Callithrix jacchus: one gene and its partner. The protein of the gene in region 2 interacts with the protein of the main gene of each other region in a pairwise test. Links are inferred from orthologs where the notes say so. Each region holds a gene or a part of one and is shown on either strand. Other genes may lie near its edges.

The links.
Region 1: the proteins of MRFAP1L1 (region 2) and UBTD1 interact in binary tests that used the Homo sapiens proteins (3 or more experiments, as listed by UniProt). The two-hybrid records come from large-scale screens. The link is inferred for Callithrix jacchus from reciprocal best matches to the Homo sapiens genes MRFAP1L1 and UBTD1.

The regions. Positions count from the first base shown.
Region 1 is NC_133513.1:90,379,722-90,383,226, reverse strand, and holds the end of UBTD1 (ubiquitin domain-containing protein 1), read right to left. Parts: intron 1,865-3,505; coding exon 1,479-1,864; 3' UTR 799-1,478; downstream 1-798. UniProt on the Homo sapiens protein: May be involved in the regulation of cellular senescence through a positive feedback loop with TP53. Is a TP53 downstream target gene that increases the stability of TP53 protein by promoting the ubiquitination and degradation of MDM2.
Region 2 is NC_133504.1:186,946,211-186,950,587, forward strand, and holds MRFAP1L1 (MORF4 family-associated protein 1-like 1), read right to left. Parts: upstream 2,937-4,377; 5' UTR 2,688-2,936; coding exon 2,304-2,687; 3' UTR 775-2,303; downstream 1-774.

The DNA of each region.
Region 1 (3,505 bases), on a different chromosome or scaffold from region 2:
GAACAGCAGCTACTCCGATCCTCCTACCCTCCAGGGGTTTCCCTGTCAGGCCCAGACAGTGCCAGGCTTTCCTGGCCAGGAGGCTGGCCATGCTCACTGAGAAGGATAAATACTCCCCACTGTAACAAAAGCAGATCTGTACTTGCTCAGTTCCACACTCGGTACTTGTAGGCTAGAGATTAACCTGCTAGGGACCTGCAGACACCTGGCCCTGCGCTTCTGCAAGGCTCACCTGGCTGGTGGCTTCCCTTAGCTAAATAGCCTTATATAAGATACCCCTGTCTTCAGATATGCATGCATTCCCCTAGGAAGCAGGAGGAACTGGTTCCTTTTCCTCCCTGGCTTGCTTGCTGGGAAGCTGACACAAACCTCTGACATATGCTCATCATCTAAATCTGCCAGTGACTTTGCTTTAACATCACGATGGGCACAGCATCTCCAGGAGCTGGAAGCCAGCCCCTCCTGCCTGAGTTGCTGTCTTCACCTTCCAACCACTTTCACATCTGTCTTCCTGCTTAATCCTCCCAGCAACTGATGGAGGAGGCAGGGCAGGCAGCATGGCTCTGCTTTAAAGAAAAGCAAAGGGGGTTCAGAGGTTAAGTGGCTTTTCCTGAGGACTCATGAGGACACCAGGGGGCTGGGATCAGGGCCCAGAAGCCTGGCAGTTCCAGGCTCTCCCTGCTGGAGATTTCGTGCCCAGAGCAGCTGGGAGGCCAGGCATCCACCTGCTCTCATACCAGAACAGCTCCAGGGGTCCCACAGAGCTGCAGAACTCAGTCAAATGCCAGGCAAGCGAGATGGAGCAAAAGGCTTTATTGATAAATATGCAGATATGTCTGTCCACAGGGACCTGCTGTGGGGGCCGTGACCAGGCTGCAGACCTCCCACTGCCTGGGTTACAGCTAGGACATGACACTGTGCAGACCCCTGCCACGACAGTCCAGCCGTCCACCACCTGCCTCATCTCTGCCAATTGTGCTGGGGGCACGGAGAGGCAGAAGCCTGCCTCAGGCTTCCCGAGCCCTGGGGCTCACGGGTGGTTCCCTCCCTTCCCAGGGAGTGGCACTGTGCCCAGGGGAGAGCCAGGGGAAGGGGGCAGACGAGGGAGACAGCAGCTGTTTCAGACCCTGAGCAGAAAACCGGAGTGAGCACAGCCGGCAGCACCAGATGATAGATCTGGGCTCCAGAGGCCTCCAGGCTAGCCCTCGTGGCTCGAACCTGCTGCAGAGGGGAGGCAGGGCGAGGGCCCCATTCACCTTTTCTCTGACAAGGTTGCAAGGCCCAAGTGTGGCCGCCTGCTCCCTGCGTACCGGGCACTGGTGGCACACAGTGCCCTGAAAGGCAGGGTCCCTTCACTGCTCACCCACCAGCCACACCGAGCGGAGGGCCCCTGAAGAAAATGACAGCACTGGAAGGCAGCAGCAGGGTGGGGGCCGAGTGCTCCAGGCAGGGCCTCTTTCCAGGGGTCCGTGGGCCCATCAGTCCTGGGGCGGTGGGGGTTGGTTGATGATGACCTGGATGACAAAATCTTTCTGGATCTTGGTCTCCTGGAGCCGTGTGCGGTCTGTAAGCAGCTTCCCGGAGAAGAACCACCGCTGCCACGACGGCTCGATGCCCTCCTGGGCATGCAGCTGCCTCTTGAGCTGCCCCACTGTGTCAGGCAGGCTGGCGCTGAGCCTCACGTCCTTGCCCGTGGACAGGCGCACCTTCAGCGGGAACTCGCGGCGCATGCTGGGTGGGGGCTCGGGGGGCTCCAGGGTCTCCTCCTCCGTGTGTTCCAGCAGCAGGTTCACAGGTGGTGACAGACAATAGATGGGCAGCTGGTAGCGATTGCCCAGCTCGTCGTAGCATTCACAGAGGGTGCCTGTGGGAGAGGCAGGGCTGTCAGAGTCAGCTTGGGGGTCCACTGGCATGGACTAAATGTTTAGGTTCCCCCAAATTCATATGGTGAAACTCTCGCTCCCAATGTGACTGTATTTGGACATGGGCCTATAGGGAAATAATTAAAGTGAAATGAGGCATGGGGTGGGGCCCTGCCCCTCTGATTCCCTGATCTGAAAGAATGGTTGTTTTTTGTTTTTGTTTTTGTTTTTCTGACACGGAGTCTCGCTCTGTCACCCAGGCTGGAGTACGGTGGCGCCATCTTGGCCTACTGCAACCTCCACTCCTGGGTTCAAGCGATTCTCCTGCCTCAGCCTCCTGAGTAACTGGGATTACAGGCGTGTACCACCATGCCTGGCTAATTTTTGTATTTTTAGTAGAGACAGGGTTTCACCATGTTGGTCAGGCTGGTCTCGAACTCCTGACCCTGTGATCCACACCCCCCTCCCAGCCTCCCAAAGTGCTGGGATTACAGGAGTTAGCCACCGTACCTGGCCGGCCTTTTTTTTTTTTCTTTTGAGACAAGATTTCCCTATGTTGCCTAGGCTAGTCTTGAACCCCTGGGCTCACACGATCCTCCCGCCTCAGCCTCCTGAGCAGCAGAGACGACAGGTGTGCTCCACTGCCCTGGCTTACAGTTCCTGAAGAGACACTAGAGCACTGTGTTATGCTCCACTCGCTCCCATGTGAGGACACAGCAAGAAGGCAGACACGCCTGCAAGCCAGCAAGAGAGTCCTCACCAAAACCTGAACCGGCAAACACCACGATGTGGGATTTCCCAGTCTCCCCAACTGTGGGAAATAAACGTCTCTTGTTTAAGTCACTCAGCATGTAGTGTTTTGTTATAGTTGTCTGAGCAGACTAATACACTGCCATGGCCACCCCACAGTCAGATCTCCCTAGGACAACCTGATGACCAGGTGTACAGGGCTGCAGTCAGGAAGACCTGAGCTGGCATCCTGGCTCTACCAGGTACTGGTTTGTTCATCCCTGGGACATCACTTTTCATTTGTTCACATGTGCCAGGTGCTGGGGTTACAGGGATGAATGAAATAGCACAGCTCTGCTCTCCATGGGCCTCAGTGTCCTTACTGGTACCATGTAATGCATGGAAAAATAAGTGTATTGTCTCTTGAACACTTAAGTGCAGGGACTAGACTGTATGATGTTATGTGCGTCTTGCTGAATCCTAATAATCATCTCCCCTCTATAGTTGTAAGGCACTCAGGCTCTAACTTCTAGAAGCTCCTTGCTAAAGGCAACACAATTAGGAAAGGAACACACTCAGGCTGAAACCCAGGTCTGGGACTCTAGAGCGCCACTGTTGTTACCCTCTGCTTTACACGGCCCCATAAGGCTGCTGTGAACTTACGTGAGCTAATGCAGTGGAAGTTTCTAGTTCAGTGCCCAGCACATAACCCAAGGTCCATGCCTTTGGGAGGCCGAGGTCGGTAGATCACTTGAGCTCAGGAGTTCGAGACCAGCCTGGCCAACGTGGTGAAACCCCATCTCCACTAAAAATACAAAAATTAGCTGGGTGTGGTGGCACGTGCCTGTAATCCCAGCTACTCAGGAGGCCGAGGCAGGAGAACTGCTTGAACCCAGAAGGCAGAGGTTGCAGTG
Region 2 (4,377 bases):
AGCTTCTGTGACTTTTCTGTGCTCAGGTACTTGATTTTTAAAATGTCTATTTTACACATTAATCCAAAACATGTATCTATTTTATGAATTAGATTTAGTAATTCTTGAAATTGCACCATGCCTACGCTATGGCTCTGAGTATACATTAGCACTCTGTGAGAAAACATTCCAGGGTGAAGAAATGTCACTGAAGTGCAGACTTATGAAGATGAATTAAGTCCTTAACAAAGGTTCTTAGCCCTGTCTGCCGACTTCACTCTGTCTCCCACAACCCATCCACACTCCTTAACTTCCAGCTCACCGGCCATCTCCCCAGTGCTATAACTTGAAAGGCTTCTGCTCACTTTGATCCCTGTGCCTCATATGCCTTCACTCATTTCTACTTTTCAGGCCCAGGTAAGTCACCTGCTCTGAGTTTGCACACTCCCCTATGCAGAGGTGACTCCCTCCTCAGGGCTCCCACAAGACACCCACGCACTCTGTCTGCAGTTCCTTATATTCCGTTTCTGTCCCACACCTTCGCCCCATTCATCTCTTACCTTTACGTGCAGGATATGAAGCACGTCACATTCCCACTGGGTGACTAAACACATGTCTGCTGCTGAAAGGTAGGGGCTGGACCCAGAGGATGGCCGAAAGTTTTTCTCTCCAGAACTGGGTTTCTGTCAGCTCATCTCCATAGCATGTTCCAGAAATAATTCTCCCTCAGTTAAAGGCTTACCAAGAGCCTTTAACTAGAAGCAGTTCAACCCCATTTGATGACAATGAAGAACATCCATTTCAAAAAAATTTATTTATGATTCTTTTGTTAACACACACAGGAGGGGTTTTGGTCATGTGAACGAAAAATTTATTTCTTAAAAAAGGCTTTTGAGGTCTTTGTTTTTCAAGGCAAATTAACACTTTTTATATGTTTGACTTTGACCTCCAATCTGACAGGTCTACTACCCTGATGAACTGGAAGAGACTTTCCAGGCCCTGATAATGTCTTTTCCTTTCTCCAGTCTCTCAAGGCTCTTTGTAGACTGTCTCTTCAGTGCCATTCTCTGAAGCCCCTGTGATGTGTGAGGGTATTACAACAGTCCATACTCACTGCCTTGTCACATAAGGTCAGCTATGCTGTCTAAATCAACTCACCTGACAGATTACACAAGATACATCAGACAATGTGCCACAAAACATAGCTCTCCTCTTTCATCTCACAGAGGAACGAAAGTTCCAAAATATATACAAAACCACTTCCATCTCCAGCTGTCTTCTCGGTCTTCCCAGCTTTATGCAAAGCTGCCTCATTAATACATTCTTCACGAGGCTCAACCAAGTAGTGCAAGGCAGGCCCCTCTAAAGTCGGAAGATTCTGATCCCAGGTCTTGATGTGTTCCAAAAAACAATCAGGTCACAAAGGTAACAGCAAAATACAAGGTCATGCCCAACATTTCAAAAGCAAGTAACAAGAATAAAAGTAACGGCGAAAACAACTTTTGATGAAGCCCCGTTTCTCTTACAACAGTATTTCTCCCACAAAAGTTATCCTTCCAGAACCAAATACATTTGAAGATGTAAACCCATACCGAGCTTATCAATCACTGACCATAAGGGAGACTGTTACATGGGGGTAAAAAACATACAAAAACAAAACAGAGATGACAAGCGGTTTCGGTTTCCTCAATGTGTCAGTTCATCCTTACCAGCTGACTATAGTCCTCAGCTGTGAACCTAAAGCACAATTGGGAGAAATTGACCATGAAAAGTTCCATATCCTGATGTTAAAAATAAATGTTAACCAACCAGAAGAATGCCACTGCTTTGAGACAGGGTCTTCTGACATACCTGCCTCATAGAACAATCTGGAAATTTCAGGTAATGTCCTCTGGCTTTACTCTTTCTCTTTGCCTGCGTTCTCGCCCTGCGTTCCATTTTGCTCTACGGCCTAGGTTTTCTTTGGCTTTCCCCAAACTCCCTTGGTGCCTAGTCAGGTCTACTTCTGGGGACCGCCCTATTAGAATTGACTTTCATGTTTCACAAACCCCAAGTTACTTTTATTTTCCTCTATCAGTGTGGGAGGGAGAGGCCATACAAAAACGGTACACTAACACCTAACAAAACCAGCACGCATTCTTTCCTCTTGACCCCAACTTCGTTCCCAATGCTCAATTTTTGATGCAATAAAAATGGGGGGGGGCGGGGAGTGCAGGCCTAGGATATAACTTTTGACAGGGCGCGGTTTCACACCATGCTTAGGGCGACTACTGAGTTCCATCCGAGCTCCCGCCAGGTTCAGACCTTACCACCGATGTCCTCCTTCAAGAAGACTCACTTCTCTCTATTCGCCAGACGAGCTCGACCAGCATCTCTGCCATCTTCGCGATCTCCTTGGCCTTCTCCTCGGCCTTCTCGCACAACTCCGACACTCTCTCGTCGGCTTCGCCACTCGGGTGCTGCGCCTGGTTGAGGGCGCTCTCCTCCGAGGCCTCCACCTGCGTCTTGATCTGGATGAGCATATTGTCCATCTCCCACAGCTTGCTCCTGGTCCGCAGGTACGCCCGCCCGTGCTCGCGTATAAGAGACGCGATGTCCTCGCGCATCTCGTTGATGACCGGGAGCAGGAACTGCTCGAAATCCTCCTCGGGCTCCAGCACCTCCACCTCCTCTGGCGCTTCCACCTCGTCGATGTCCAGAGGCCGCATCTCCTCCTGCCGCTTCTTTAAGACCGCAGTAGTGACGTTATCCTTACTGGACCCCCCTGGGGACTGCAGATCAGGAGTTACTGCTGGAGTCTAGGCGATCCACACGCTTTGTCCATAGTACTCCCGAATTATCTTTAAATTTTTTCTTCCTTTTAATTGTAAGCCTTTCGCTTCGGAACTCTATCGGAAGAATCACCGTGGACGGACACAGCGCAGCGACCAACAAAATGGAGACGCAGCCGTCAACTCGCCCTCCGCCTGTTTGCGGCCCTTTCACGACAGGGCCGGGCCCCTTTACGGTCACGCCTGTGGCAAGACCAGGTAGCGGGCGCGCGCGGCCCATTCGCCACCTGTTTCCCGGCGCTCCGCTCGGCTCTCTTCTCTAAAAATTAGGTCGGTGGCGGCAGGTTTGTTCGCGTCTTCCTCGGAAAGCTCTCTTTAGAGGGCTTTTACTTTTATTATTTTTTTTAAGTAAAAGCGACCCTCCCCATCCCTATATTTGAATAAGACGGGCTGGCGTTCACAGCGCTTACTCTCTAAACATGCACAAGCTTGGAATAATTTATATGAAATTCACTTAGCGCTCACAACGAACCTATAAGAGAGGTAAAAACCAGGCCAGAGTCATGATTTGAGCCCAAAGCAATGTGTGTCCACAGTGTGCTCACTGTTCCAGAACGGAGCAGGTCCCTTGTTCTCCCCACCCCTGGCTCATGCTTTTTTTCTCGGGGGGTAGGGAGTGGATTTCTCTCTCTGCCTTGGGTGGTTCTGGCCTGTGGTTTTTAGTCGCTCTTCAGCAGTCTGTAAGGTTTTCAAGGTAAAGGGCCACTTCTGTTTCAGTTCTGTCCTCCGCCCTTCCTATCAGCCTGGCGTCAAGCAGGGCCTTAGGGGATGCTTTAGAGACAGGAATTCTTCTCTAGTACCTCAGTGCCTCTGCCAGACTGGAGGCTGTTTGGGGATGGGTTCTGGTCTTGCTCACCCTTATGTACCTACCACACACAGGACCTGAAAGTCAGCAGGGGCCTAGTAAATGTGGCTTTGATCACCAACCTGATGCCTTTGTGGAATAGAGGAGTCTATTGCGAGGCTTAGTCACCCAGTGCCACACTAGTAGTGATACGAGTGTGTGTAGAGGGGGGAATCCTTCTTGCACAAGTGCCATAGATGAGAGCTTCAGTTTTCCAGTCTCATAAAGACCAATGGCCCCAGCCTGAATATCTGTCAGTGGGAAGAGGCATTTGTAAGATGATGTGTGTGAAACAGTTTTGCAACCACCAATGTTCTAGCAGATGTTCATCAAAAGAACATTAAGAGAAAAAGAGCAGGACACTGAAAAAAAGGATATTTTCAATAGCTCTATCTGGCAAAGGACTCATGCAGAATATATCGAGAACTCCTAGAGATCAACAAGAAAAAAAATTTTTTTTAATGGACAAAAGACAAAAGCTGGCACTTAGCAAAAGAGAATATCCAAATGGCCAATATGTATGTGAAAACGTGCTCAACGTCACGATTCAGCAGAGAAATGAAAATTAAAACCGCAATGAGGAAGCACTGTCCATCCACTAGAATGACTCAAATTTAAAATGCTGACAATACCAAGCATTGGGGAAGATGCTGAACAAACGGAACTCTCATGCATTCTTGATGGATGTCTTACTCCACTCTGGGCACCACAACTAAGCACCAG